2 linked regions of the Macaca fascicularis genome follow. Each later gene encodes a partner of the first gene's protein in a complex. Links are inferred from orthologs where the notes say so. Each region holds a gene or a part of one and is shown on either strand. Other genes may lie near its edges. The genes, in order: SIRT5 and PRDX1.

The links.
Region 2: the proteins of SIRT5 (region 1) and PRDX1 are in contact, whole or in part, in a crystal structure (PDB 8Z54), measured with the Homo sapiens proteins. The link is inferred for Macaca fascicularis from reciprocal best matches to the Homo sapiens genes SIRT5 and PRDX1. Residues at the interface, in NP_001363727.1 of Homo sapiens: Ala86, Tyr102, Arg105, Gln140, Ile142, His158, Val220, Val221, Trp222, Phe223, Gly224, Glu225, Asn226, Leu227, Leu232, Val253, Val254, Tyr255, Pro256; in NP_001189360.1 of Homo sapiens: Phe195, Ser196, Lys197, Gln198.

What each region holds. Positions count from the first base shown.
Region 1 is NC_088378.1:159,375,141-159,379,048, forward strand, and holds the start of SIRT5 (NAD-dependent protein deacylase sirtuin-5, mitochondrial), read right to left. Parts: upstream 2,534-3,908; 5' UTR 2,337-2,533; intron 2,196-2,336; exon of another isoform or gene 2,033-2,195; intron 1,993-2,032; exon of another isoform or gene 1,836-1,992; intron 1-1,835. UniProt on the Homo sapiens protein: NAD-dependent lysine demalonylase, desuccinylase and deglutarylase that specifically removes malonyl, succinyl and glutaryl groups on target proteins.
Region 2 is NC_088375.1:189,198,940-189,202,799, reverse strand, and holds the start of PRDX1 (peroxiredoxin-1), read right to left. Parts: upstream 2,823-3,860; 5' UTR 2,761-2,822; intron 2,440-2,760; exon of another isoform or gene 2,275-2,439; intron 1-2,274. UniProt on the Homo sapiens protein: Thiol-specific peroxidase that catalyzes the reduction of hydrogen peroxide and organic hydroperoxides to water and alcohols, respectively.

The sequences.
Region 1 (3,908 bases):
GACCTGAAACTGTAAAACTAATAGAAGACAACATAGGTGAAAACTTCGTATTAGTTTGGGCAATCATTTCTTGGATAGGACCCCAAAAGCAACAAAAGCAAAAATAGACACGTGGGATTGCATTAAACTAAAAAGCCTCTGCACAGCAAAGAAAATAATTAACAGAGTAAAGAGACAATCCGCAGACTGGGAGAAAATATTTGCAAACCATGCATCTGATAAGGGGCTCATATCTAAAATATATAAGAAACTCAATAGCAAAACAAAACGAATAACCCAGTTAAAAAATGGACAAAGGACCTGAACAGGTATTCCTCAAAAGAAGACATATGAATGGTCAACAAATACATGAAAAAATGCTCAACATCGCTAATCACCAGGGAAATGCAAGTTAAATCACACTGAGCTACCACCTCACGCGTGTTAGAATGGCTATTATAAAAAAGATGAAAGACAACAAGTGTTGTCCAGAACGTGGAGAAAAGGGAACCCTGGTACACTGTTGGTGGAATGTAAATTAGTACAGCCATTTTGGAAAACAGTATGGAGGCTCCTCAAAAATCTAAAAATAGAATTACCATATGACCCAGAAATCCTACTTCTGGGTATATATACAAAGGAATTGAAATCAGTATGTTGAAGAGATATCTGCATTCCTGTGTTCTTTTCAGCATTATTCACAATAACCAAGATACAGAAGCAACTAAGTATCTATCAACTGAGGACGGGATAAAGAAAATGTGGCACATATATACAATGGAATACTATACAGTCTTAAAACAGAAGGCAATTCTGTCATTTGCAACAACGTGGATGAACCTGGAGGGCATTAGGCCAAGTAAAATTAGCCAGGCAGAGAAGGACAAATAGCATATGATCTCACTTATATACTTGGGGTCTAATAAAGTTGAACTCATAGAAGCAGAGTAGAATGATGGTTACCAGGGGCCTGGGGGAGGGCAGATGGGGAAGGGAGGGATGTTGGTCAAAGGATACAAAGTTTTAGTTAGATAAGAGGACTAAGTTTTAGCGATCTACTGCACAGCATCGTGACCACGGTTGATGACGTATTGTATATTTCCAGGAGAGTAGATTTTCACCACAAAAAATAAGTAGGTGAGGTGATGGATATGTCAATTAGCTTGATTTAATCTTTCTACAAATGTATACGTATATCAAAACACTACATTGTACCCTATATATAAATTTGTCAATATTAAATATATAAATATATATTTACATATTTATATAAAACATAATACATGCTAAGTATAATGCAATGAACTGCAAAAAGTTGTACAGCCTCCGAATAAATACTTTTTGAACGCCTATGAGCTAAATAAATGCAATACATCAGTCCCAGGTGTCTCTACTAAGGGGCCCCACTCCCGCCCGTTCCATCATCTGCTTTCCTCAAGGTCGTCTCCACCCTCCTATCTGCTGACAGCCGGCCTCTGACCCAGTTCATCACTTTCCCGGGTTTCCGGGCGCCACCCCCTTCAGGTTTTCCTCCTACTCCTCCAGCCCTGCCTCTCTGGATCTCCCATCTTCCCAGCGCTCCAGACTGCATGCGGCCTCCCCGCCCCCTGGGTCCAAGAGGCAGCTTCCACTCCACGCGGGCAAGCCTGAGCTCCAGAGCCGTCCTCAAGCCTCCTCCTCCCGAAGCACTGGGGCACCATCCTCCCGGCTGCTACTCGGGCCCAGGGACTAGGCCCTGAGCCTTCCCTTCTCGTACGCCCCATAGCCAAGCTGCTCAGTAGATCCCGACGGCTCGACCTTCAAACTACGTCCGGAATCCCACCCCTCTCCACGCCCACTGCCTCCACCCCGGCCACCTTCCTCGGTCATCCTGGCTGCCGCAGTGACCAGGGTGACCTTTCTGAAAAGGGAGGCTCTGTTCGGAGCCCTCGTGGAGCTCCCCAGCACAGCGGCCTCGCAGGCCCACCCGCTCGGGTGGGATTACTTTCCAACTCCGTTTCCTGCCCCCTCCCTGATCTCCAGCCGCAACGACCCCACGCAGAGCCCGGATGACCTTGGGCCCCGCACGTGCTGCCGGCCCGCTAAGAGCTCGGGGTCCCCCTGGAGCGCGCCTTCCAGGCTTTCTCCTAGAGGCGCTTTGTCCTGACCGCGCACCCGACCTGAGGCACGGCTCACCTGGGGCAGCTCGCGCCCCCGAAGACAGTCTCCCACGCCCCGCCCCCCGGGGTGCCTCCCTCCCAGCTCTCCGTACCCACCCACCATCCCCCACATCCCCTCCTCCAACCGCTACCCAATCACCAGCCCAGGACCGCAGGGCAGAGGCCGGGCTGCGCATGCGCACCGCGGACCAGCGCTACCTCCGCCCGCCAGCCCGCGGCCGGCCCTGGGCTGTGCGCGCAACCCCGAGAGAGCAATGCGCGGTCGGGACCCAGTAGCTGGAGCCAGAGCCGGAGAGGCCTCGGAGACCCGGGCCCGGCGCGGGCAAGGACGCACCTGCAGGAGGCGGGCGCGGCGGCTGGAGAGGAGGCCGCGGGGCGGAGCGGCTCAGCGTTCTGCTCGGCTGCAGCGGCCCCTGCCGGAGACCCGGGCGCCGGGGTTGTCTTTATAATTGAAGGATTGTCTGTGCTTTATTTGGGGTGGGGGTGGGGGTGGGAGTGGGAGTAGGGGTAGGGGGCGGCGGGTCGGAAGAGGCGCGGTGACTTTCTTCGTCTTTGTCACCTTCCAGGGTTCATTCCACTGCCCAAATATGTAGTGAGTTACTATCGGCTTTGCTTCCTCTTTCAGCAAACAGCTGGATCACACAACTTCAGGACAGAGGATTTTAAGTGTTGGGGTCATTTTCCCTGAAACGATTTCAAATGATGGTGAGTTGGTTCCCAGGCCAGCCCACCTAACCTCGAACGCAGTGATGAGTGCGCTCTGACTGCTGAGCTGAGAGCCCCGGTGACTCAAGTGGCTCCGCAGGTCCCCGTTCCCTTAAAATCGGAGTCTTTCCTTTTCTTGGATTTGGGCTTACCACCAGCACCTCTTGGCAGAATGGAATTGCTTGCGGGCATGTCAATGGACTAGAAAGGGAAGTAAGTGGTCTGAGAACTTGGGGGCCAAAAATGTTACATTAACATTTTTTGCCTACCTAAAATCTCAGCCACTTTCCACAGTTTGGCTGGAAATTCAGCCCATATTGAAGCCCCTCTCACTCCTGCAGGTGTTACCAGCAACTTAGGGGTTTATGGAGTAACGAAATTGGGGAGGGCCTCACATCCCGCTGCTTTTTTTTCCCCTAACGTGTATGGTGCTTACTCTGAGCCAGACACTTTTAAGAACTTCACATTATTAACCAATTTAAATCATACCCACCACCTGATGAAATAGGTACTGTTGTCCCCACTTTATGGGTGGGGAAACTGAGGGCCAGGGAGGTCAAATAACTGCTCAAAGCACAAAACTGTTGAATAGTAGTGTTAACTAGGGCAGTCCTGGAGAAATCGCTCAGAGGGCAAAACTGAGAGTTCATTGTTTTCTTAAACAGTAGACAGCTGAAAATGCTCGTTTCTTTCTTTTTTTCTTTTTGTTTTATTTATTTTTTATTATACTTTAAGTTCTAGGGTACATGTGCACAACATGCAGGTTTGTTACATATGTATACATGTGCCATGTTGGTGTGTTGCACCCATTAACTCGTCATTTACATTAGGTATATCTCCTAATGCTATCCCTCCCCCTCCACCCCAAAACAGGCCCCAGTGTGTGATGTTCCCCTTCCTGTGTCCAAGTGTTCTCATTGTTCAATTCCTACCTATGACTGAGAACATGCAGTGTTTCGTTTTCTGTTCTTGTGATAGTTTGCTGAGAATGATGGTTTCCAGCTGCACCCATGTCACTACAAAGGACATGAACTCATCCTTTTTTATGGCTGCATAGTATTCCAT
Region 2 (3,860 bases), on another chromosome or scaffold:
AAGTCTCTGAATCTCAGCCTTTGTTTTCATTTAAAAACGACAAGGCAATTTCTTTATATACTAAGAAAACCTCTCACTCTTTCTGAACCATAATTAGTGCAGTGGCATCTTATTCATTAGACAGAAGCAGAGAGGGAGGCAGGTGAAGACTCTCAAACCAGAATCCAAATGCACAATGCCACAAACACTTTTGTTTGGCTCATAGTCATGTTGACCTTTCCCATTACTGTGCCTCCACCTGCCTTAATAACGTCAGAAGCATATTTGACTTTTCTCCAGGTAGCTTTGTCAAAGACAGCACACGGTCGACCTATAACTAACACAACTTGTTTTATTTTATTTTTTTTGGACGGAGTTTCGCTCTTGGGGCCCAGGCTGGAGTGCAATGGCGCTATCTCGGCTCACCGCAACCTCCACCTCTAGGGTTCAAGTGATTCTCCTGCCTCAGCCTCCGGAGTATCTGGGATTACAGGCGCTAGCCACTACACCCGGCTAATTTTTTTGTAGTTTTATTAGAGAAAGGGTTTCTCCATGTTGGTCAGGCTGGTCTCGAACTCCTCACCTCAGGTGATCGCCCAACTCAGCCTCCCAAAATGCTGGGATTACAGGTGTGAGCCACCGCACCCTTCCAGCCAGTCCAACTTTTAAGAGGCAAGACCACTGGGCGCGGTGGCTCACACCTGTAATCCCAGCACTTCCGAAGGCCGAGGCAGGCGGATCACAAGGTCAGGAGTTCAAGACCAGTCTGGCCAACATGGTGAAACCCTGTCTCTACTAAAAATACAAAAATTAGCCGAGAGTGGTGGTGCATGCCTGTAATCGCAACTACTCAGGAGGCTGCTGAAGCAGGTGAATCGCTTGAACCCGGGAGGCAGAGGTTGCAGTAAGGCGAGATCACACCACTGCACTGCAGCCTGGGCGACAGAGTGAGACTTTTCACTCTGGGCCATACAGTGAAGAAAAAAAAAAGCCGGTGGGTGGGGGGGGGGGCGCGGGAAGACCAAGATATTGGCGTCTGCTTAATTTCAAATCTTTAGGTATTGTGTAAGCCCTAGAAGTCCCTTCACAAATGGGTTCCTGACTTCTGGGCTAATATCCCAGGGCGAAAAGAAGTAGAACAAGAATCAATTTACTTCTGAAAAGGAAGGTTGCGCAGGATTCACCCAGATCAACACCAAGATAAGCATCGAGATCTTGGCCTGTAATGCCAGCACTTTGGTAGCTGAGACAGGCAGATCACCTCAAGTCAGGAGTTCGAGAATAGCCCGGCCAACATAGTTAAACCCCGTCTCTAACAAAAATACAAAAAGTTAGCCGGGTGTGGTGGCACGCGCCCGTAGTCCCAGCTACTCCGGAGGCTGAGGCAGGAGAATCACTTGAAACCGGGAGATGGAGGCTGCAGTGAGCCGAGATCCCGCCACTGCACTCCAGCCTAGGAGACAGAGCAAGACTCCGTCTCAAAAAAAAAAAAAAAAAAAAGTTCGCGACAGGCCTGGCCAACATGGTGAAACCCCGTCTCTACTACAACTACAAAAAAAAAAAAAAATTAGCCGGGCGTGGTGACCGGCGTCTGCAGTTCCAGCTACTCAGGAGCTGATGCAGGAGAATGGCTGAACCCGCGAGGCGGAGCTTGCAGTGAGCCGAGATCGCACCACTGCACTCCAGCCTGGGCGACAAAGCGAGACTCCATCTCAAAAAAAAAGAAAAGAAAAACAGCAAAAATTTGCCGGGGCTTGGTGGCACACGCCTGTAATTCCAGCTACTCGCGAGACTGAGGGAGGAGAATTGCTTGAGTTCGGCAGACAGAGGTTGTCCCAGTAAGCCGAGACCGCACCACTGCTACTCCAGCCTGGCCGACAGAGCGAGACTCTCTCAAAAAAAAAACAGAGTTTTAACCCACTGAGCCGCAGTCTAAAAGTTTTTCCAAGTCCTAAAGTTCTTTAAAAACTGTTTTTTAAAAAGTCCTTAACACCTTTAACGACAAAAAACAAAAACCAAAAACTAATGCATGCTGCAACTTGGTGTCCCCAAATGGCCTTCTCGTCCCATCCTACTTTCCCAGGTGGCTCCCAAGTACCAAACCCAACCAATTCGGGGTAAAGGCTGCTTCAGGCCGGCGCCGGGCCCCTTCAGGGGATCTGCCCAGTGCCGAGGGCCACACCCCTGAACCCCACTTCAGGTACCCCTGTCCCTCCCCAGCACTGTGTAAAGTACCAGCAGAAAGAGTGCTTCAGCGGGGACATTTGGGCTCATCACTAACTCCATTCCACGTACAGGAAAATAAAGACGGGGAAAGGGTACCCGAAGCTCCGCAGCTAGTCAAGGCTCAGGACCCGGAACAGCATTTACCCTATCACAAGATGGACAAAAATACAGGCTGTCTTCTACAGCCACGAGTCCGGATACAGGTCCATTCCAGAAGCTTCCCGAACCCACCCCGCCCGACAGGAGGCTAGTCTTGGAGACCCCACCACCAGCCCGCCCAGACGCCGCGCCACGTGCTCAAGTTGCCGGGGAACGACTCGACTCGAGTCCACGCTAGCCTTGGGGTCCCACGTCCCCGCACCTACGTGGGGGGCCCATGAGAGGGGTGCGCGTAGCGCTCAGGCAGTCTCGGGCTCCGGGTCTCCCCCGGCCGCCTCACGCATCACAGTACCCCCACCCAAGGGCGGGCGAGCCCCGGACAGGAGAAGGAAGAGGCAACAGACAAGAAAGGCGCGCCGCGCCTCACTCCGCAGAGGCCGCGCTGCCCACACTCACCAGTCCTAACACAACTCACAGATCAACACCACGGAAGAACAAAACAGGCAAGAACAAAACGCGCAAAATCCGCCCGGGGCGCTGCCTTTATAGCCAGTAGGGCTCTCGCGAGAGTCGGAGCGGACCAGGGGTTCTGGAAGAGAAGAAAGAGGAGGGGGATGTGGCCCGAGCCCCGCCCGGCGCGCCCCACCGGAATGACTCGGCGCTTTTCCTCGTGGGGGCGGGCGCGGAAATACTAATACCTCTCCCTGCTGCGGATGGCTGAGGCTGGAGTGAGGCGCTCTTGTGGCCGCTCCCAAACCCAAACGCTTAGGTTAATCCAAGGTCTCTGCGAAAAACCAGGATTCCCTTTACTTCCAGGACCACTACGCACTGTGCCCTTAATGCCCAAACCGGAGTAAGCGTCCTAGCTGCTGCCCACGGATGACCACGTCTAACCACACCAAGCCATGAGAACTGTCTGTCCGAATATTTCTTAAGTTAAGCAGCCTTAACCCCAGCGCAGATCCTCAGTAACCCTCATGGGTTAGATAGCTTCCTTCATTGTTCTCTTTGATTACAGGGTTGCTGCTTTCTGTTGTAAAGCAAAATAAAATATCAGGACTCCTAAACTTATGCCAAAGGGAAAGTTCAGTTTAGGACGCTGATTCAGCTACACGACCATCCTTTCCCCGGATGAATAACTTGACTTTACAATCTTGAGTCAAAATATTACACATTAGCCAGACCTACACAGTAAGGCAAAAGGCCTCAGACACTTCCTGATGACTACCCCCCACAAACACACATACACAAAATCACAATTATTTGCTACCCTGGAAACCTTTAAAGTATGTAGCCTCCCATAAAACAAGGACGTGTCAATTGTAACTAGATCTGCAATCTAAAGTCTAGTTCCTAAAACGAAAGTTTGTTGTATTCCACATTTTTTTTGAGACGAGTCTCACTCACCCTGTCGCCCAGGCTGTAGTGCAGTGGCACGGTGTAGGCTTACTGCAACCTCCACCTCCCGGGCTCAAGCGATTCTCCCGCCTAGCCTCCGGAGTATCTGGGACTACAGGCACGCACCACCATGCCCAGCTAATTTTTTATATTTTTAG